Lonchura striata: one gene and its partners. The protein of the gene in region 1 interacts with the protein of each later gene in a biochemical or structural test. Links are inferred from orthologs where the notes say so. Each region holds a gene or a part of one and is shown in the gene's direction. Other genes may lie near its edges. The genes, in order: TMED10, COPG1 and COPZ1.

Region 1 (7,021 bases):
AGGGCAGGGGCTTGAGAGGAGGTAACAAGCCAGCTGCTTCTTGCAGAGGTTGGGGGTATTTAGGTGAACTCTGTATTGGTGTTTGCTGGAAAAATTAATCCCAGCACTGTTGCTGGTGAGCAGGAAAGGCCAGCAGGCCTCTGCTGGACATAGCTCATGCTACTGGGGCAGTGGGAGAAGCAGGGCTTTGCCTGGAGCCATCCATTGGGAATGGAAAGGGATATGGGCTTCCCCTGAACTCCAGGGGGACAGTAGGTGAAAGTTGCTGGGAAGTGAAGCGCGAGGTTTCCTCAAAAAGATGGGAGAGCTGTCAGGCTACTACTTAAAAGCTGAAAACCTGCCTGGGAGCAGGAAAAGCTCTGGGGAGAGATGAGAGAATAATGAATGCTCACTTCCTCAAAATGGTTTGTTTGTGATTGAATCTGGGCTGTCTTTGATGAAGGATGTTTTGTTTCCCTAAATGAACTCAATTTGGATTGAGCCCTATACTCTTGATTTCAAGCAATTAACATCTGTGCAGGATTTTGAAGCACTTTGTAGAAATAACTTTAGTCACTTGGTGAAATGGAAGAAGATACACATAAATATAATGTAACAATAGTTTGTCTCCTCAAAGTGATATCTAAAGTTGTTTTGTACTATGCCTGTTACCCAAATGCTATATATTTTAGTTATGTGGCCAGCACACAGTACATGTCATCTCTGGGACAAGAGAGACAAAGCAGTGCAATGCTGTTTTATGGCTGTTTAGCCACTGATTTATTTTTAGTTGGTTGAATAACATCTCTATCTAGATTGTGATCACAATGGTGACTGGGGGAGTTATGTCCCAGCAATGAGTTCAAATATAGCCCCTTAAAGGAGTGGCCTTGCACTTTCTAGAAGTGGTAGATGGATAATTTTGCATGGTTAGTAAAAGCACTGATTAGCATTGTAAAGAATATGTAATTTTTATACAATTTCTCAGTAGCTTGTAGTGGATTGCCAGGTGCAGGGCACAATGCAAAAGTATTAGAACATAAAAGTAAGTCTAGAATAGTTTTTAAGAGGAACATTGTTTCAACTTTTTATTGTCCAAAACAAGAAAATGCAAAAATGCCACAGCAGCTGACGCAGAAGCTGTAAAAAAAAGGTCTAATTATGTAATTCATACACATTCATACACATTGTTTCCTGGAGAAAGCAAATTAGTGTTGCTTTCTGCCATTTAGCATAGATAAAAGATACATTTTGGTGCGGCAGGAATTGACTACTGCTAACACTCTGTGAACTTTGTCAGTTTGGAAAAAATTAGAAATTTGGTGGGAAAAGGCATATTTTCTTCAATGGCCTTTGCTGTCTCAGACTACTGAGACATCCAAAAGTTTCTATTGCTCTTTTGCTAAAATAGAATTGAAAGCTGAATAATTCATTGTTCTCTTCATCATTTTTAAGACAGCAATAAAACTGCATTAGGGATATTTGGAAAGATAAAAGCTATCTTTTATCACACGAACAAAATGGTTTGAATTTTGTCAGTGTGTCGTGATTGGCAGCTGATATTAATGCTTACATTGGGGATACACCCATTTGTCTATGGGTTAGTGGTAGTGAGAACAAATATCTGCCTCCAGCTGAGTGCTGAGCTCCCACAATGCTTAACACAGCAGATTAAGCTAAAATAGGTCATCGCTTCATCTGGAAAGTTGTGTAACAAGTTATCAATCTCTCCTTCACCTCTGTTCAGGGTTTTTGAATTACAGGAAGCATTTCATTTTGTTAGCCTCCACTATGTGGAAATATTAAGGCATGTCCCTGCAAGACTGTTATTTCCTAACCTGGAGCTGAAAGGATCTTCAAATGCTTTCCCTCTGCTCTAAGTTACTTGGCACACTCAAGGGAAATTGCCCCATTGCATGTTTAAATGCTTTTAAAAAAAGCCGGGGATTGTGAAGAGACTCATAGCAGCTCTGTACCATTTTATTTCATAACACACTGAAGCACTAAAGGATATCTGAGGGGGTTTTATAATTAGATCTGAACTTGCCTGTGTGGCAGTTTCTAGAATAATACGTCCACAGGAGGAGACTACAACAGAAAGCAGGGGATAGATTTGTTGGTCATAAATGTAACTCATCTAATAATGTACCATGACAAAACGGCCACAGTAGAAAGGGATTGTAGTCAGTCGTATATTTGCTTTTTGATGGTTGAGTTCACACTTTGATTTTAGAAAACAAGGCTTTAACTTTAACATGAATGAGCCATTTCCTCTGGAAAATAAGGCTATATTTAAAGTTTTAAGCATGTTAAAAGGCTGGATCCATATTACTGTTTTGAGGAATGTTCTGCATGAAGAAATTTGTCATGCTGTGCCAGTTTTATCAGAAATTTTGTGGTACAACATTTCATATCTTCATATTCTAGCAATCAGTGTTTCTTAAAGTTTGTGAAATATCTCTTTCTGCCTTAAGCACTGCAATGGAAAGAATGTTTTAATTTGCAAATATACTTCGACATATTGCAAAAAGAGCAAACTATTTATTATGGTTACATTTCAAATAAGTTAATTGTCCAAGTAAGGGACAGTTTTTGAACTAATAAGAGAGTTAAAAATGTATTGAAATTCCATCAAGTGACTGTAAATCCCACTTCAAACAATAAACTGGAGCTTAAAGTAAGGGCAAATGTTTGGTGCTGGGAGGTTTTTGTTGTTTTGGGGGTTTTTTGTGATTTTTTTGGTAAAAGTTTTTTATTTCCCTCCAAGTATGAGGTCACTTTATCCCTGCACATTTGGGCTTAGTGTCTGTTCCTGAAGGAGAGCTTCATCATATTTTCTCAGTAGGTATGAGCACAAGCGGGCAAAAGCACTGAATTGTTCTTTAAAATGCTCCACAGGTGAACATCCAAGCATGAAATTTGCCACTTAAAGCCTCTTGTAGTTTGTACCAACTCCTTGTTATTGCTTGCCATTAAAGACATGCTTTGACCAGAGAACACAGCTGGTGATGTTTAAAGGAATAAAAGTGGAACAATGGTGTAATTTATTTTACTCAAGCTAACAGAAATAAAAAAGATATTTTGCTCTCTAGCAATGTTACTATCCATTTCTTTCTTCCTGCTTTTCCTTACATCTTAGCACACCCAAATGTTTGCAGCTGATCCCAGGAGCTGACTGCAACCATGGTGACCATAGCCACACACCTGTGCAATTTTCCTCCTCCCTGCTCGCAGGTTATGCCGCAGAACAGGTCACTGCTCCCAGCCGTGTGTGCCCTTCCCGGCAGCTCCACTGCCAGGCCAGGAGGCTGGGGATGGAGGTGATGCGGTGCCAGGGGAAGCAGCAGCCCAAAGCTCATCAGTGGTTACCCAATGCAATCTTCCTGAAGAATAAAATATATCAAGAGAGAAAAAAAAAAAAAAGAAAAAAAAAAAAGAGAAGAAAAAGTAGATCTGAGTATATGCTGGAAGAGAGAAAAAAGTAATGTCTTCAAAAATCATTATAATTTTATTTGCTGTTAAAAACACTTGGGTACTCCTATTAAATGCAAGGCATTGATGCAAAGAAGCAAGACATCTGATAAAACTGAATTTTCTTGTGTGAAGAAGAGAGAAGTCACTCCTCAAAACTGAAAAACCCCATACAATAAACAGCAAGTGTCTCTCCCAGTGAAGATCCCCAGCCGCGAGGCAGTCTCACGGACATTCAGAGTGCTGCCGTGCCTCGGAGCACGGCTCGGTTTTGCTCTAATTTTCCAATTCTTTAACGAGCGAAGCCACCATTACTCGCTGCCGTCAGCCATTGCTGGACAACCTTCATAAGTCCTGCGTTTCCTAAGGAAACACCCCGCGGAGGGGTCGGGGCCCGGTGCCCCGCCCCGCCCGCCCCGCCCCGTGACGCACGGCGGCGGCGGTCACGTGCGGCGGAGGCAGGCCCGGCCCGGCCCGCCGCGCTCGCAGCCGCCGCCATGCCGCTGCCGCCGCTGCCCGGCCGCCCCCGCCTCGGGCGGGCCCCGCTCCCGCCGCTGCTCCTGCTGCTCCTGCTGGTGGGCCCGGCGCGGCCCATCTCCTTCCAGCTGCCGGGCAAGGCGCGGAAGTGCCTGCGGGAGGAGATCCACCGCGACACGCTGGTCACGGGCGAGTACGAGATCAGCGCCCCGCCGGGCTCCTCCGCCGGACCCTCCGCCAACCTCAAGGTGCGGCCCCGGCCGGCCGGGGGCGGGGGTGGCCGGGGCGGGCGGCGCGGCCCCGCCTCCCCTCGCCGGCTGTGCGGGGCGGGAGAGGAAGGAAGGAAGGCAGGGGTGACGTGTTCCACGCGTGGCACCGGCCCACGCGTGAGCCGACAGCCGCCGGGCCCGGCCTGCGCCGCGCCGCGGGACTCGCCCTGTGCGAGCGGCCACCAGCCCGCCCAGGAGCTCCGGGTGCTGGGCAGCCAGGGAGCCCAGCTTCAGCTTGAGCCACATAGGAGCTTTTTCTCCCCAAAGATCGAGTTGCAGCCGCCCGTCCCGCAGTCTGCCATTTAATCCGCACACGATGCGGATTATCCGGCGCCTGGCGAGATGGGCCGCCCCGATAAAGCTGTACCAATGCTGCTGACACCGTGTGAGCAGGAAAGAGTTATGGTGACGTGGCTTTCCGAGGGCTCCCTCCATGCTTAGGGCCTGGCACAACCGGATCCTGGCACAGTGGAATGGGGGCTGAGAAAATTTTGCTGTACCAGGTTCTGGTACCCAAATTGGCTATTCTCATCTTGCTGTGTCGTGGCTTGCATGGGTTTTAGGTAGGCAGATATTTGCTGCAGGGAAGAAAATGATCCTGAAGAATCTTCAGGAAGTACAGGATTTGCAGAATACTCATGACTAATACACCTGTGTGACACACAGTTGTAAAACTTCAACAGCTTCACTTAAATTCTGCCCACAATCTGCATTTCCTAGGCTTTCTTCAAAATTCCATCCTAGCTGAATAAGGTCTGTTGCTACATAGTCAGTTCATAACAAGCCTTCTGGCAACTTTTTTATTTCTGTCTACATTCCCAAAGGTTTCAATACTAAGCACGCAAACAGAGATAGAATGGTCTGCTCAGGAGCTTCTGAACTTGGTGTTCTTGAATATTTTAGGCATCCTGAAATCAGATTGCTTTTCCAGCATCTGCCTACCAATGCCTGAAGGCCCTGGCACTCTTGACAGTTGTAGCTGGTTATGGCTAAGGAAGGCTTCTTCTGGAGTCATACTGTTTAAAAATCATGTGGTTCTGTTCTTGCTTCATTTGTTAGAGGAAACTTGTCTGCGTATACGTAGAGCCAAGCAGCAATAAGGCTTTAAAATGTGGATGTAGTATTTGCCTGGTAAGGCACATGTATTTCAGATGGAGTGCTATGTTCCCATGTCTCTTACTGCTTGGTAACCAAGCCTCCTGGTTCTCAGGTTGCCCACTCTTAGGTCAGTTGGCCCCAGGGTCTCTTTCAAAACTCACTTTTATGACACAGAACTTATTTAGGGAGATGATGGTGAACCTGTGATTCCCATGTTTAAGTCTCGGTTGGCTTTGCTTATGAAGCTGGTATTGGGTGGTACTGCTTACAGAAGTTCTTTTTTGTTCACGCCATAAAATGAATTAATTTTTAAAAGTCATGTGTAGTTTGAAAAGCTACAAAGGTGAAAAAGTAATGTATGCAAATTCTTGCTTTCCTTCTTATTGTTCAGGTATGCTGTGTCCTCCCAATGTGCTGGGCTTGTTATAAGTGCTGAAACCTCTGACAGGTGCCTGCTTTCTCTGTGGTCTGTGTAGGAAAGGTCAGTTCAGGACATGATGTCTGCAGGTACTCTGTTCTGCACTGGATGGTCTGCTTTGGCCCCCTGGATTGGGCCAGCGAACAGAAGAGGGAGGAGGTTGGTAGTCAGTTCTGTCCAGGCTCAGTTGGGCTGCTGCCGGTGAGCTGAGCTGTGTGTGACAGCCCGGCGCTAACAGTGGCACCCTCTGTTCTGCAGGAATCCGCGGGCTCGGCCAGCTGGCTGCTGCGAGGGGGCGCCTGAGCTCCGTTTGGCAGCCACGTGCCTCTGCCCCATTGTCGAGCCCGACGGTATCGGGCTGTTTGTCAAGGGCAAACAATGCCCTGTCTGTAGGGGATTGCCTTACCGTAAATAACGTTAGAATAGCATGAAAAATTCCTTTCAGGTCGACTCCCCCACAAGCGTTCTGGCTGGGCTATTAGCAGCCTGTCCCGCCCCCGCACACCCGGCTGAATGGGCAGTGTATTTGGCTGATTTGGGTAATGCTATTCAGTTTTGATGAAAGTGGATAGCAAAGCTTTTACTGTCCAGAATGCCGTTTGTGAGCTGCAAAGGGCAAAAATGGATCAAGCTGCATAAAGATTAGCTCTGGTGCCTACAAAGGCATAGGAAAATACTAGGGGTATCTGAGAGCTATGTTGTTCTGACTACTTTTTGTGATGGAGAGCCTGGTGTGCAGAATGTATGTCATGCTGATGAGGCATCTTGGTTAATCATGACCCCTCCTCTAAAACAGCACATGCCATGTTGTGGCCAAATCACAGGCTTTTACATTGTGTTGGCATGGTCAAACATACACAATCCTCTACTGCAGATGGGCCTGCTCACTTGGGCCCAGTGCTTCCCAGTGCCTGGTGGCTTGTGACAAGGGAATGGCAGCACAGCTGCCTGCACCTGACTGTGCAGGTGTGCTTTCATCTGCTTGCCACTTGAAAACAGGTACAGCTCTGAGCTGCTGCGTGGGGAAGAGTGTTCCTCATTGTTCTCAGACACTTGACAGCATATGATGCAAGGGCAGCTACAGCAAATCCCCTAACAGGCCATTGTGGGATAATGTATTTATAGAGGAAGCTTGTTCCTAAAGCCTTGCCTGCTATGGTTTATACCATAAAGTGTGAGAGTTTATATAGTTGATCGTTTTTCCTGCCTAATGCAGCAACTCTCACCCATGAGTAGGTCCACACGTTTTAAATCCAATGCCAGAGAGTTAATTAGATGCTCTAATAAGAATAAAGAGTGTTTCTGTAGA
Region 2 (7,726 bases), on another chromosome or scaffold:
GCCCAGCACGTGCCCAGCTGATGCAAGCCAGGCCATGACCCCCTGTCCAGGCCCTGACGTGTCAGCACGTGGGTCTGTGGTGCTGCATGATGTACTGTGTGAATCAGTGCTGCCAGCTAATTTTGGCTTCTGGGTGTGAGTTCCTGGCTGTCCCTGGGAGGAAGAACAAAGCTGGCATTATTTCTGTTCCCTACTGTCCTGGGGAGGGTGGCACAGGATGGGTCACCCATCAGTTCAGACCACGAGGGTGGGCAATCCAGTGGTCTGAACCCTGGGCACCCTGACTCCTGGTCCTGGCCAGCTCATGGGGCTGAGCACCCACAATTCACCTCATGCAGTGCCCACCCAGCCCAAGAGCCTTGGGATGCTCCCACACTCCCTAAGGGGAACTGTGGAGCCAAGCCCTTGTATATGGGGCTCACCCCACAGCAATGCCTACAGGCTGCTACCCACCTTGGCAGCTGGCAGAGGGGCCTGGGCCAGGCTGGGCTGGTGCAGGTGCCTGGAAATCAGTGGTGTCCCAGTTGGAATGCATAAAAGTGAGCTGCAAGTCACTGCCTTCCTGCAAACCAGTGGCAAAAGCAGTGCTTGGGTTTGGCACAGCAGGGAGGTGACATGTCTCTAGGTATGTCCTCCACGTGGCCAGGGAGTCTGTCAGGACACAGTGCCAGACTGGTACCAGGAGCTGTCCAGGGGCCTTGTGAGTCACAATGCCCCGAGGTCTGCCCATAATCCTGGCAATATGCATGTTCTCTCCCTCCCTTAAGTGATTACCAAGCCTGACAGGAGCAGGGAGGCCTAATTAGATGAAGAAAAAACATCTTGCAAGTCAAACATGAAACAACTGAGATGTCCCAGGTTCCTGGAATCCCCTCGAAATGCAGCTGGTGGAGCTGCAAGGGGGCACACACCCACCCACATCCTGGGATGATTTCATCTGCCATTAGGCAAAATGTATTAAAAACATTTCCACACACCACCCCCCCGCCACCTTCCCCCTGTCACTGTCACCCCCTCTGCGGGTCAGAGGTGGAGCTGGGACAGGATAAGAGCCAGGGCTTGGCAGGGAGCAGAGTAAATGCCCAGATTGTGGTCCCTGCACCCTGGGAGCACTGCCTGAACATCGAGGAGACGAGGACCTGCTGCAAATGGTGAGGCTGTGCCCTCAGCGGTGCTTTTCAGGGGCTTTTAGCTGGGCAAGAGGTTGCAGGGGGTTAGATGCTTTTCATTCCTAATTTTGCAGCGAGTTAACCACCCCTGGCTGCCTATTCTGGTACTCTGCAAAGGGCTTCACCCCAGAGATACTCTGCTGGGTGACTGATTTTGGAGAGAGGCAGCTATATAGCAGGATTTGTGCACCTGCTCTGACCCCCACCCCACATCCCAGCACCCTGACCCCCACCCTGTAGCACAGCATCCTGCAATCCCTGGGGCTTCCCTGTGACCAGGGTGAGGGAGGGGGTGGACAAAGTTGCTGAGGCTTGACACAGCTCAGGGCCTGTGGCCACTCTCCTTTCCCTGTCACCTCAACGTGACTAATATGCTGTGTATTTTAGTCCAAGTGGCTCGTGTCCCTCCTTGGTGGGTGGCTTTTGCCCCAAAGAGCCCAGCAACACAGTGGGGAATGGCATCTGCCAGGGAACGCATGGGAGGAAGAATGCTCCACTGCCTGCCCAGCCCTGAAACCCCAGCCCTGAAACCCTGGCCAAAGGGCAGGAATGGGTTGGGGAGCAGCCACAGTACCCTGGCAGGCACCCTCCTGAGCAGGATTGTCTCCTTCCCTGGGGGACAAAGGCATGAAGGGTGTGAAATGGAGGGCATGGCTAGCATCTGGCCAGGGGCTGTGTGAAAGGACAAGGACACCCAGGTGATTTGCTTCCCATTTCCCCTTCAGCCTCCCCAAGGTGGAATAATGAAGGGCTCCTGAAAGGAGGGTGAAGCCCCATCAGCTGGTGAGGGAGTGGGGGGGCTCTGTGGGTGACACCCTGGTGGGGATGTGTCCTGCCTGGGGGGCTGTGGGGCCATGGCAGGGTGATGGGGGTGATGCCAAGCCATGTGCTCCCCGCAGGCTCCCCTGGCCACACTGCGAGGCAGGATGCTGCTCTCCTTCCTGCTGCTCCTGGGGACACCAACAAGGGCCTGGAAGGGACCGAGCCGTGAGTGGCTCCCACCAGCCCCCCAGGCTGTGGATGGAGGGAAGCTGATGAGGCAGGACAGCACCAGCCCTAGCAAGATGCTGCCAGATCCCTCCAAAGTGAGGAGCGGTGACGATGGCTCTGGAGCAGAGTCTCATCCAGCTGAAGCCAGCCTGCCACTGCTAGAGGGACCAGAAAGACAAGCAGTGCCCTGGCTGATGAGCCCAGCCACCAAGAGAGCGGCTCCCAGGAAAAAGGGGAGGAAGTTGTCCTTGTCATTCGATGTCCACACTCACTTACTGAAAATCCTGCTCGACCTGGCCAGAGAGAAGGAACTGCAGGCCAAGGCGGCTGCCAATGCCGAGCTGATGGCCCGCCTGGGGCGCAGGAGATAAGCTGTCCTGGCTGGCATCTAGCAGGGCTGGAGAGGGCAGCGGGGCTGCCAGGGCACTGGTAGAGGGAGGCATGGAGCAGCACTGGTGTGTGTGCAGGGCACTGGACATGGCACCTCATCCCCCTGGTCCCAGTGCTCATGGCACAAGCAGCAGCCGTGGGAGGATTTGATTTAATAACTCTCACCTCAGCACCATTGGAGAAGACACAGCTGGGTTTACCTTGGCCAGTGCTTGAGCACAGCTGGTCCCAGCCCCCGGCACTACAGGGATTTCTAAGCTTGGCTTTGCTCCCTGCTCATCCACCACCTAGATGTCTCCAAAGGGGCTGCATCCAGCCATGCAGTTTTTCCTGGGTGCTTCTTCTCTCTGGGTGACTGAAGCACACAAAATCCTCCACAAAGCTTGGCCAAGCCTCAAAGCTGGAATTTTGAGTGAGCGTGCACAATAAAATGTGGCATCAAACACAACTCATGCTTTATACCTGTTCTGCACCCCTTTACACACCCATTTTGTGTTCCCTTTCCCCAGAGATACTGTGAGAGCACATGCTCAGCTAGGGCCAGCATGGGGGGTCATTAAATTCCACACGAGGGGTGTCAGACCTTGCACCAACAGTGGAGCTGGCCCAGGGAGCCCACAGCAGCTCTGGGCCAACAAGGAAACTGTCTTGTGCCACTGGAGCTGCTGCTTTCAGCACAGCTGGGAGATAAGAGCAGTGCAGTGCAGAGTGCGGCCGCCCTGTGCAAAGTACAGGGTGGTGCAAGCAAGGCTGAGGCCGGGAGACACCTGCAGGGGGGCCACTGGAGCTGGTGGGGGACACGGCCATGCTCTTCGAAGACTACCTGCTGCAGGGTGAGTGAGCCCTTGCACTGTGGATTGGGCACTGGCTTTGGGAAAGGGGCAGAAGCAGCTGGGGTGACCCCACATCCCATGGAAGGGACAGATTTCAGGAAGGGATGTGCCAGCAGATGGTGGGTTGGGGTGAGGTGGCAAGGTGGATAAAAGGTTTTTTGCTATCCCTGCCTGACCTGAGGCTCAGATGATGCCTGGCCCCTTGAGATACCCCCCTGCACCCCCTGGGTGTGTGCTGTGGGGCTGAGCCCGAGTTTGTGGGCCAGGGTAGAGACAGGGTGCTGGTAGCAGTGGGGGACAGAGGTTATAGGAAGACCTGCCAGAGCTGGTGCACCCAAGTGAGACACTCCAGGGCAGGCAGCCTGAGTGACAACTGTCCATCCTGCAGAAGGGAGTTCTTCCCTGCCACTTCCAATTGTTCTTGCGATGCTGAGCCTGTGAGGATCTCCTTTCCATGTCCTGCCACAGTGTCTCATCTGTCCTCCCCGAGACCCAGTGTGCCCCTACGCTTCAGCCCACTCTGTCCCTAGTGCCCCCTCACCTCCGCAGTGCCCTTCCCCTGCCCAGCTCAGGGGTCCCAGTGCCAGCCCCCATCACCAGTGTTTCGCTGGTACCAGTGCCTCCTGCCCCGGGCCGTGTGCTTTCCACAGCCCAGCTGCTACGAGCAGTGTCCCGGTGTCCCCAGGGCTGCCCCAGCACAGCACCGAGCAGTATCCCGGTGTCCCCGCAATCCCGGTGTCTCCCGCAGTCCCGGGATCCCCGCTGTCCCGGTGTCCCCGCAGTCCGATGTCCCCCGCAGTCCCGGTGCCTCCGCTGTCCCGGTGTCCTCGCAGTCCCGGTATCCCCGCTGTCCCGCTGTCCCCCGCAGTCCCGGTATCCCCGCTGTCCCCGCAGTCCCGGTGCCCCCGCTGTCCCGGTATCCCCGCTGTCCCGCTGTCCCCCGCAGTCCCGGTGCCCCCGCTGTCCCGGTATCCCCGCTGTCCCCCGCTGTCCCCCGCAGCCCCGGTGCCCCCGCTGTCCCCGCAGCCCCGGTGTCCCGCTGTCCCCCGCAGCCCCGGTGTCGCCGCTGTCCCCCGCAGCCCCGGTGTCCCCAGGGCCGCCCCTGCCCGCTCCCCTCAGCGCCGACCCCCACCCCAGCCCCGCCAATCAGACCGCGCTATTGCCGGTTGGCCCCGCCCCCTCCATGTCAGTCACGGCTCCGCGCCACGCCCCGCAGCCGCCCGGGAGGCGGCCCCGCGCCTGCGCAGTGCGGCGGCCGCAGCGGCAGTGACAGGCTGGCAGGAAGGGGCGGGGGCAGAGCGGGCGGGGCAGGAAGGGGCGGGGGCGGTGCCGGGACCGGGAGTGGGACCGGGACCGGAATCGGGATCATCGGGATCAGCATCGAGATCGGGATCTAGGCTGGGACTGCCGCTGCCACGGACGGGAGGGCTGCAGCGACAGGCCGCTCGGTAGCACCATGCTGAAGAAGTTCGACAAGAAGGACGAGGAGTCGGGTGAGGGGAGGCCGGGGGCGCTGTGAGGGGAGAGACCCTCTGTGGGTGCGGAGGGGATTGGCGAGGGGGACCCCTTCGTGGCACGGGGAGAGCCGAGAGGGAAGAGACCCCTGCTGTGGCCGTGAGGGGAGCAGTGAGGGACAGAGGGAGCTGGGAGGGGGGGCTCGGTGCCAGCCTGGCAGCGGGGGCTTGCTGGTGCGCATGGAGCGCCGTGGGAGCGCCGTGGGAGCGCCGGAGCAGTCTGCTGCCTCCTCCTCGCAGCTGCAGCCGGAGGCTAAACTGTTTGCATCGGCACAGCACAGCGAGGTTACTGCCACATCACCAGGTGCAGAGCCTGAGACTAAATATTGAGCACATTAGCCCTGTTCACAGTTGCCCAGCTCTGGAACCAGGTGCTATAGCCAGGTAGAATCCATCGTTTCTGGCCCCACAATCACTGCTACTTTCAATGGATCAGAAAACCTGAGAGCACCAAGGAAACATGAAGTGGTTGCCTGACTTTTCAAAACTTTAGGCCGATTAGTAAGGAAGAGGTTGATATTTTATGTGGTGTGTAATTCAGGTGTAAACGATGCATCATAAGACAGTGTTTCCTTTCGTGGTTTAGCTTTGTGGTATCTTTTTCATGTTCCTGTGAAGCTTTCTACACATCTTGCTCTGCTTAACAAATCAGTGTGTCCTGAAGCAAATTGATTCAGCTTACGTCTTGGTGATTGTTCTGTGTTACTCTGCTTTCTTTTTATCTTAATGGGCATGAAATGCTTTGCCCTTGTTTCCCTTTTCCAAGGCCTCCAGTGGCATCTTGATAAGCAGAGAATTTAGTGAGGCAGCTGTTGGAGGGGAATTACTCTTAGCTTTAATTTTGGGGGCTGTTCTTCATTTGCAGCTGCCACACCCATCAAGGTATTGACATTACTTATGGCTAGGGCTGTCAGGAGATGCATGTATCCAGTTAGTTTGCTTCTGTGTCTTTGCTTTCCATGTATGGTTTTGCTAGCCTTGGATGACCTGCTCCCACTCCCTGTGACATGTAATTTTGACCACAAAATTAAGTTTCTCAACAAATCAAAATAACTTGCTGTTAGTTATCCAATATTAGGAACTTTATGAACATACAACCTCTGCTCTCCCTGCATCTTTCTCCGTCTCCATGGAAGAAAACTGATGCAGGGTGCTGTGAGGACTGAGACCCCATGTACGATGTACTTCAAGATCCTTAGTGCTATGAAGGAAAAAGAAGTGATGCAGCATTGTTCATGGCTGATTTAAGGATTGTAGACATGCTGGACCATGGAAATACTGGGCTGCTGGGCAGGTTTTTTGGAACACATTAGCATATTTATCCTAGAACTGGTTCATACTCATACTAGAGACCTTTTTGCTCTTTCCCCTTGTTTTTTTCTACCTATTCAACCTCACATACATGTGTGTGTTTTCTTCAGCCACCTGCTGCCTTTGCAAACTTCTTCTGAGCCAGAGGGAGGGCATTTTATGAACCAGGAAGGAGCCAGAGTGCAGATGTGTTTGCTTTTCTATGTAAGGCTTACTCTGGGAAGGGCTCCTGGCACCAGCCTAGGATGCTTCAAGCTTGGGTCAGGTCAGATTTTGGCCCAGGAGATGTTGTCTCTAGTGGACCAGGCTTTGGCACAAACACTAGAACAGCCCTGAAAAAGGCTGCATTCTGTCCCAGGCAGGCTGAACATAGGTTCTAATTAAAACCTGCCTATCAATAACTAGCAGCTTTTGAAAAGCTGCAGGTCACTCAATGCTTGGGAGGCAATCTAATAGAGACCATGCAGAATGATTGTGCTTTTCCCTCTGATTATTTAATCCTTAATTGCTGGCAGTTCTAATTATTTAGTATAATTTACTTTGTTGAGCAATGAAAGTTACTTTGTGTCCAGCCTATCTAGTCTGCTGTCTTGTTCTCTTAATTAGTGATAGAGCCAAAAATACTGGTGGATTTTTGATTGGTTTATAGGGGATGATAAACTACTCCTGACTCACCAGTCTGGCAAGCAATACCTCTTTCTGTCTAAGCTTTTGTTTCTAGGCCTGTCCTATTGATGCTCTAACTGCCAGCAAGCTCCCAGCCCAGGGGTGGAAATAGTTCTTTGGGGATACAGTGGAGCACAGTTATTTTACAGCTAATCAGTCTATGTCTGTCGTCCCTGACTGCCATGAAGACATCCAATTAATATTACTTCAAAGAGGGTGCTCTCATTGCTTGGTGTTCATGAAAAAAAATCACCCCAAAATGCTCAGACTGTTTTTAAAGTATGGGCATGGTTAAAAAGTTGCTTTCCCATGGCACTATCCTTGGAGAAACTTTTACTCTCTCTGTTTTGCAGGTGGGAATTCCAACCCATTCCAGCACCTGGAGAAGAGTGCAGTCTTGCAAGAGGTAAATCTTCAGACCATCTTCTCTGTGTACCCCACTGGACAGAGTCTCTCCCTCTCTTGAGTAGGTCACTGGAGAACTTTTGCAAGGAAATGAGGGTTTCTTACAGTCCTGTTTGCTCTGAAAGAAACGGGCAACAGTTCTTACTTTGTTATTGGACAGATAAAGGGAGGAGGTTGAAATGGTCTCTGTAACAAATTAAAGACTCTGAACTCTAAATGCTAATAAAAGGGAAAAAATTATCTGGGAAAGCTCACCCCAAACCAGGAAGATTGGGAAATTGGCCTTGGATACCCCAAATTTCTTGTGGACAACAATATTAGTGAGAGGGGTGTGAGTGGTTATTAAACAGTTTTATGAATTTTCTCTGAAGAAATGCTGTTCTTTTCAAGAGCAGATGAACATCTCAATCCCCAGCCCCTGTTGGTTCAGCATTCTCTTTTTGCTTGT
Region 3 (7,760 bases), on another chromosome or scaffold:
CCTGGGGAACCCCCAAAATATCCCAAATGTCCCGGGGGCAGCTTCGGGGGGCGCAGCTCGGGGCCCTACGGCGGTGGTGAGTCCCCAAAAACCCCAAAAATCACCTGGGGAACCCCCAAAACCCCCCTGGGAACCCCAAAATATCCCAAATGTCCCGGGGGCAGCTTCGGGGGGCGCAGCTCGGGGCCCTATGGCAGCGGTGAGTCCCCAAAAATCACCCGGGGAGCCCCAAAATATCCTGGGGAACCTCAAAAACCACATTGAGGACCCCAAAAATCACCTTGGGGGAGCTTAATTTGTATTGGGGCGGCCTTAAAATAACCTGGGGGGGGCTCAAAATGTGCTGGGAGGACCCCAAAACAAACTGGGGCGATCCCAGAATGTCCTGGCAGGGCTCTGGGGTCACTGGGGGTCCCCAAATGTCCCCCCCCGATTTTTGGGTGTCCCTGAATCCCCTCCTGGTTCCACAGGCGGCTACGGCAGCTCCAGCGGCGGCGGCAGCTACGGAGGAGGGAGGAGGTTTTAACGGCCAGGTGAGGGGAAAAACGGGGGGAAAGGAGGGGAAAATGGGGGAAAAAACAGGGAAAAAAGGTGGGGAAAGTTGGGAGAAAATAGGGAAAAAAGGTGGGGAAAATTTGGGAAAAGGGGGAGAAAAATATGGGAAAAAAGGTGGGGGAAATAAGGGAAAAATATGGGGAAAAGGTGGGGAAAATATGAGAAAATCTTGGGAAAAAATTGGGGGAAAATGGGGAAAATATGGGAAAATGGGGAAAATATGGGGAAATGGGGAGAAAATATGGGGAAAATATGGGAAAGAATGTGGGAAAAAATGGGAAGATAATTGGGAGAAGAAATTATGAATTGGTCAGGGAGAAGGGAGAGGAAAATAAAACGATGGGAGGGATTTCAGGCAGAAAAGTGGGAAAACAGGAAAAAAAAGGTTGGGAAAAGATGAAGTGGGAGGGATGAAGGGAAGGGTTGGGGAAAATGGAAAAAAAGGGGGAAAAGAAGATTGGGGGAAAAAAAGAAAAGAGGGAAGCGAGAAAAGGTTGGAAAGGAGAAAAAGCTGGGAAGAGATGGAGGAAATGGTTAAAATTGGGAGATAAAGTGATGGAAAATGGGGAAATAACAGGAAAAGGTGGAAAAAGGATGGGAATGAAGGGAAAGGGGAGGTGGGAATTGCAGCGGGGCTGGGGCTGGGATCGGGCAGGGTCATGGGGATCGGGGCAGGGATGGGAATGGGAATGGGATGGGATGGGAATGGGATTGGAGCAGGAATGAGAATGGGATCTGGGATGGAAATGGGAATGGGGCAGGGATGGGAATGGGATTGGAGCAGGAATGAGAATGGGATCTGGGATGGAAATGGAGCTGGGATTGGGGCTGGGAATGGGAGTGGGGCAGGGATGGGAATGGGATCTGGGATGGAAATGGGAATGGGGCAGGGATGGGAATGGGATCTGGGATGGGATTTGGGAATGGGATGGGAATGGGGCAGGATTGGGGCAGGGATGGGAATGGGATCTGGGCAGGGATTGGGGTTGGGAATGGGGCCAGGATTGGGGCAGGGATGGGAATGGGAATGGGGCTGGGAATGGGAATGGGATTGGAGCAGGAATGAGAATGGGATTGGAGCAGGAATGAGAATGGGATCTGGGATGGAAATGGAGCTGGGATTGGGGCTGGGAATGGGAGTGGGGCAGGGATGGGAATGGGAATGGGATGGGATTTGGCAATGGGATCTGGGATGGGATTTGGGAATGGGATGGGAATTTGGCAGGATTGGGGCAAAGATTGGGGCAGGGATGGGAATGGGATCTGGGCAGGGATTGGGGTTGGGAATGGGGCCAGGATTGGGGCAGGGATGGGAATGGGAATGGGATGGAAATGGAGCTGGGATTGGGGCTGGGACTGCCGCTGGGTTTGGGGCTGGGATGGGAATGGGATCTGGGATGGGAATGGGATCTGGGATGGGAATGGGATCTGGGCAGGGATTTGGGCCAGGATTGGGGCTTGGACTGGAGCTGGGTTTGGGGCTGGGATGGGAATGGGATCTGGGATGGGAATGGGATCTGGGCAGGGATTTGGGCCAGGATTGGGGCTGGGACTGGAGCTGGGTTTGGGGCTCTGCCCCTCCTGGAGCCCCCAACACCGGAGCTGCTCCTGATCCCAATCCCAGTGCTGATCCCAGCCCCGATCCTGACTGCCCCAATCCTGATCCCAGCGCTGACCCTGCCCCAATCCCGAACCCAATCCTGACCCCGATCCTGCCCCAGTCCCGATCCCAAAATCCCAATCCTGATCCCAGTGCTGACCCTGCCCCAATCCCGAACCCAATCCTGACCCCGATCCTGCCCTGAGCCCAATCCCAAAATCCCAATCCTGATCCCAGTGCTGACCCTGCCCAATCCTGATCCCAATCCTGACCCCGATCCTGCCCCAATCCCAATCCCAAAATCCCAATCCCAAAATCCCAATCCTGATCCCAGTGCTGACCCTGCCCAATCCTGATCCCAATCCTGACCCCGATCCTGCCCTGAGCCCAATCCCAAAATCCCAATCCCAAAATCCCAATCCTGATCCCAGTGCTAACCCTGCCCCAATCCTGATCCCAATCCTGACCCCGATCCTGCCCTGAGCCCAATCCCAAAATCCCAATCCCAAAATCCCAATCCTGATCCCAGTGCTAACCCTGCCCCAATCCTGATCCCAATCCTGACCCCGATCCTGCCCTGAGCCCAATCCCAAAATCCCAATCCCAAAATCCCAATCCTGATCCCAGTGCTGACCCTGCCCCAATCCCGAACCCAATCCTGACCCCGATCCTGCCCCGATCCCAATCCCAAAATCCCAACCCCGATCCCGGCGCTGACCCTGCCCCGATCCCAATCCCAAAATCCCAATCCCAAAATCCCGATCCCGGTGCTGACCCTGCCCCTCTGTCCCGCAGGAGCCGGAGCTGGGCGGGAGCCGGGGCAGCCCCAGGAGCCGGAGCCGGAGCTGGGCCGGGAGAGCCCCGGGACCCCCCTGGGAACCTCTGGGGACCACCCGGGACCCCCCTGGATCCCCCAGGACCCTCTGGGGACCCCCCAGGATCCCCCCTGGGACCCCCCAGGATCCCCCGGGATTCCCCTGGGACCCTCTGGGGACCCCCCGGGATCCCCCCGGGACCCCTCTGGATCCCCCAGGACCCTCTGGGGACCTCCCAGGATCCCCCCGGGACCCCCCGGGATTCCCCTGGGACCCTCTGGGGACCCCTGGGATCCCCCCGGGATTCCCCCCGGGACCTCCGGGAATCCCCCGGGACCCCCGGGGCCGGGTCCCCCCGTAGTTCCCGAGCGGAGCGGCCGGAACCCCCCCGTGTCCTGTACCCCCCCCCCTCAATAAATGTCTCTTGGGTTTTTTTTTTAATTGGTTTTTATCATCATTGTTAATTTCAGAGCTGGGGGTGGCTGCTTCCTCCTGATTGGTCACCGCAGCTGTCAGTCACAGCCTGGCTCCGCCCCACCTGACTGTCGTGTCCCCAGGTGTCCCAAAGTGTCCCCAAAGTGTCCCCTGGGTGTCCCTGAGTGTCCCCAGGTGTCCCTGAGTGTCCCCAGGGTGTCCGCAGATGTCCCCAGGGTGTCCCTGGGTATCCCAGGGTGTCCTAGAATGTCCCCAGGGTGTCCCCAGGTGTCCCAAAGTGTCCCCAAAGTGTCCCCTGGGTGTCCCTGGGTATCCCAGGGTGTCCCTGAGTATCCCCAGGGTGTCCCTGGGTATCCCAGGGTGTCCCTGAATGTCCCCAGGGTGTCCCCAGGTGTCCCAAAGTGTCCCCAAAGTGTCCCCTGGGTGTCCCTGAATGTCCCCAGGGTGTCCCACCCCCCCCCATCACTGATTGCCACCTTCCCCTTTTGAAGGAGCCCTCGGAGGTGAGCCTGGCGACACTCTGGGGACACTTTGGGGACACCCTGGGGACACTCAGGGACACCCTGGGACACCCTGGGGACACTCAGGGACACCCTGGGGACACCTGGGGACACCCTGGGGACACCCTGGGGACACTGCAGGGACAGGGCTGGGGACGAAGCAGCCACGGAGGGGCCAGACACAACACCTGGCGGATGACACGGGGGTGCCACCGCTGTCCCCCAGAGTCCCCAGATGTCCCCAGCCCCTGGTGGGTGATACAGAGGTGCCACCCCTGTCCCCAAATGTCCCCAAGTGTCCTCAGCTGTCCCCAAGTGTCCCCCAATGTCCCCCGCTGTTCTCCAAACGGCCCCATTAATATCCCCAGATGTCCCCAAATGTCCCCAGTGGCCCCAAATGTCCCCAAATGTCCCCAAATGTCCCCAGATGTCCCCAAATGTCCCCAATGCCCCCATTAATCTCCCCAAATCTCCCCCCTGTCCCCGCCCCCCCCCCGTGACACGCTCCGGGCGCCATCAGCAGAACAGGCCCCACTTCCGGTCACGTGCGCGCCGAGCCAGCCAATCAGCCCAGCCCCGGTAAAGCGGTGACGTCAGCGCTTCCCCGGTCACTATGGCAACTGCGCCGCCCCCTCCGCTTCCGGCAGCGCCGTGCAGCCGTGATTGACAGCTAGATCGTCCAATCAACGCCTGTCTAGGGAAGCGCGGGAAAGACTGGTCCGCCCACCGCGCGGAAGCGCGCAGCGATTGGTGGGGTGGAGGAAGAATTGGACCAATCAGGCCGGCGGGGTGGGGCCAACGAGAGTGATTGGCAGGCGAGCAGCCAATCAGCGGCGGGCGCTCTTCCGGCTCCACGTCGGCAGCGGCGGAGGCAAAATGGAGACGCTGGTGCTGGTGAGGGACGGGGAAACTGAGGCACGGGCGAACTGGGAGTACTGAGGAGAAACTGAGGCACGGGAGGGACTGGGGGGCCTGGTGGGAAACTGAGGCACGGGGGGGACTGGGGGGACTGAGGCACGGGGGGAACTGAGGGTACTGAGGGGAAACTGAGGCATGGGGGGGACTGGGAGTACTGAGGGGAAACTGAGGCACGGGGGGGACTGGGGGGCCTGGTGGGAAACTGAGGCACGGGGGGAACTGAGGGTACTGAGGGGAAACTGAGGCACGGGGGGACTGGGAGTACTGAGGGGAAACTGAGGCACGGGGGAACTGGGAGTACTGAGGAGAAACTGAGGCACGGGGGGAACTGGGGTACTGAGGGGAAACTGAAGCACGGGGGGAACTGGGGGGGTTCAGTCCAACACTGGGCAGTGACACTGGGGACAGTTTGGGGACAATTTGGGGACAGTTTGGCAGAGTTTGGGTGCCCGGGCCGGGGTTCTGTCCTACACTGGGCTGTGGCTCTGGGGACAGTTTTGGGGACAGGTTGGCACGGTTTGGCACAGGTTGGCACGATTTGGGCACTCAGGCCGGGGTTCTGTCCTACACTGGGCTGTGGCTCTGGGCAGTCAGTGCATCACAGAACTTGGTCCTGGGCACCCCCGGCACCGCGGGACCCGCTGGGACAGCGACAGGGAGGGGACAGAGGGACAGGGACAGAGGGACAGGGACAGACAGACAGGGGACAGGGACACAGGGACAGGGACACAGGGACAGGGACGGGGGGCACAGGCCGTGGGGACAGGGATGGGGAGGACATGGTGACAGTGACCCCAGCACAGGCTCGCCCGCTGTCCCTGTCCCGGGGGTGGCACTGTCCCTGTCCCTGTCCCCAGGGGTGTGGTGGCACTGTCCTTGTCCCTGTCCTGTCCCGTCCCCAGGAGCCGTCCCTGTACACGGTCAAGGCCATCATCATCCTCGACAACGACGGCGAGCGGCTCTTCGCAAAGGTGGGGACACTGGGACACCCAGGGGACACCCAGGGGGGATATTGGGGACACTCAGGGGACACTGGGGACAGCCAGGGGACACCTTGGGGACAGGGGCACAGTGCCCTGAGGGGGATGCGGCTCTGGGCAAGGGCCAGGGTGGGTGGCACGGGTGTCAAGGGGTGGCCGATGTCCCTGATGATGTCCCCGTGTCCGTGTCCCCATGTCCCCGATGATGTCCCCATGTCTGTGTCCCCATGTCCCCGATGATGTCCCCATGTCCCCATGACGTCCCGTGTCTGTGTCCCAGTACTACGATGACACGTACCCCAGCGTGAAGGAGCAGCGCGCCTTCGAGAAGAACATCTTCAACAAGACCCACCGCAGTGACAGTGAGTGACACCGAGGGGACACTGAGGGGACACTGAGTGACACAGGGGTGGCACGGGGGTGACACGGGGTCACAGGGACACAGGACATCTTCAGCAAGACCCACCGCAGTGACAGTGAGTGACACGGGGACACTGAGGGGACACTGAGTGACACGGGGGTGGCACTGTGTGACACAGGGGTGGCACAGGTGACACGCAGGTGACAGTGTGGCTGTCCCCAGGTGAGATCGCGCTGCTGGACGGGCTGACCGTGGTGTACAAGAGCAGCATCGACCTGTACTGCTGCGTCATCGGGAGTGCCACCCAGAACGAGGTGGGACACGGGGACACGGGGACATGGGGGGGACATGGGGGGACAGAGCAGGACAGAGCGGGGACACTGCTGGGACACCGTGGGGACTCTGCAGGGGCACGAGGACACCCAGGGCTGCTGGGGGACCCCAGGTGGATTGTGACCCCGCTGTCCCCTCTGTGTCCCCATGTGACCCCGCTGTCCCCTCTTTGTCCCCTCTGTCCCCTCTGTGTCCCCTCCGTGTCCCCTCTGTCCCCAGCTGATGCTGACGGCCGTGCTGAACTGCCTGTTCGACTCGCTGAGTCAAATGCTGAGGTAGGGACACACTGGGGACACCTGGGGACGCCTGGGACACACCTGGGGACACCTGGGGACACCTGGGACACACCTGGGGACACCTGGGACACCTGGGGACACTCCTGGGGACAGTTCTGTGGGGTGTCCCCGATGTCCCTGTGGGGTATCCGTGATGTCCCCATGTCCCCATATCTCTCTGTCCCCATGTCCCCAATGTCCCCTGTCCCTGTCCCTGTCTCAGGAAGAACGTGGAGCGCCGGGCGCTGCTGGACAACATGGAGGGGCTGTTCCTGGCCGTGGACGAGATCGTGGATGGAGGGTGGGTCCCTGTCCTTGTCCCTGCCACTGCCACTGTCACTGTCACCTCCCTGTCCCTGTCCCTGCCACTGTCACCTCCCCTGTCACCTCGCTGGGACTGTTCACTGCCACTGTCACCTCCTGGGGACTGTCACCTACCTGGGATTGTCACCTCCCTGGGACTGTCACTGTCACCCTGGGACTGGCACTGCCACCCCGGGCTCTGTCCCCGCAGTGCTGAGGTGTCCCTGTCCCCTCTGTCCCTGTCCTGTCCCATCCCTGTCCTGTCCCATCCCTGTCCCCGTCCCTGTCCCATTCCTGTCCTGTCCCATCCCTGTCCCTGTCCCATCCCTGTCCCTGTCCCATCCCTGTCCCCGTCCCTGTCCCATCCCTGTCCTGTCCCATCCCTGTCCCTGTCCCATCCCTGTCCCTGTCCCATCCGTGTCCCCGTCCCTGTCCCATTCCTGTCCTGTCCCATCCCTGTCCCTGTCCTGTCCCTGTCCCCATCCCCATCCCCATCCCTGTCCTGTCCCATCCCTGTCCTGTCCCATCCCTGTCCCCGTCCCTGTCCCATTCCTGTCCTGTCCCATCCCTGTCCCTGTCCCATCCCTGTCCCTGTCCCATCCCTGTCCCTGTCCCATCCGTGTCCCCGTCCCTGTCCCATTCCTGTCCTGTCCCATCCCTGTCCCTGTCCTGTCCCTGTCCCCAT

What was found.
Region 2: the proteins of TMED10 (region 1) and COPG1 form a complex in vitro, tested with the Homo sapiens proteins (2 studies listed by BioGRID). The link is inferred for Lonchura striata from reciprocal best matches to the Homo sapiens genes TMED10 and COPG1.
Region 3: the proteins of TMED10 (region 1) and COPZ1 form a complex in vitro, tested with the Homo sapiens proteins (2 studies listed by BioGRID, with this or other methods). The link is inferred for Lonchura striata from reciprocal best matches to the Homo sapiens genes TMED10 and COPZ1.

What each region holds. Positions count from the first base shown.
Region 1 is NC_134608.1:23,131,128-23,138,148, forward strand, and holds the start of TMED10 (transmembrane emp24 domain-containing protein 10), read left to right. Parts: upstream 1-3,933; 5' UTR 3,934-3,947; coding exon 3,948-4,175; intron 4,176-7,021. UniProt on the Homo sapiens protein: Cargo receptor involved in protein vesicular trafficking and quality control in the endoplasmic reticulum (ER) and Golgi.
Region 2 is NC_134614.1:12,750,162-12,757,887, forward strand, and holds the start of COPG1 (coatomer subunit gamma-1), read left to right. Parts: upstream 1-4,686; 5' UTR 4,687-4,838; coding exon 4,839-4,875; intron 4,876-7,226; coding exon 7,227-7,279; intron 7,280-7,726. UniProt on the Homo sapiens protein: The coatomer is a cytosolic protein complex that binds to dilysine motifs and reversibly associates with Golgi non-clathrin-coated vesicles, which further mediate biosynthetic protein transport from the ER, via the Golgi up to the trans Golgi network.
Region 3 is NC_134629.1:8,455,082-8,462,841, forward strand, and holds the start of COPZ1 (coatomer subunit zeta-1), read left to right. Parts: upstream 1-4,748; 5' UTR 4,749-4,781; coding exon 4,782-4,799; intron 4,800-5,680; coding exon 5,681-5,794; intron 5,795-6,083; coding exon 6,084-6,165; intron 6,166-6,386; coding exon 6,387-6,478; intron 6,479-6,716; coding exon 6,717-6,772; intron 6,773-6,995; coding exon 6,996-7,073; intron 7,074-7,760. Other genes in the region: HNRNPA1 (heterogeneous nuclear ribonucleoprotein A1), read left to right, coding at 471-526. UniProt on the Homo sapiens protein: The coatomer is a cytosolic protein complex that binds to dilysine motifs and reversibly associates with Golgi non-clathrin-coated vesicles, which further mediate biosynthetic protein transport from the ER, via the Golgi up to the trans Golgi network.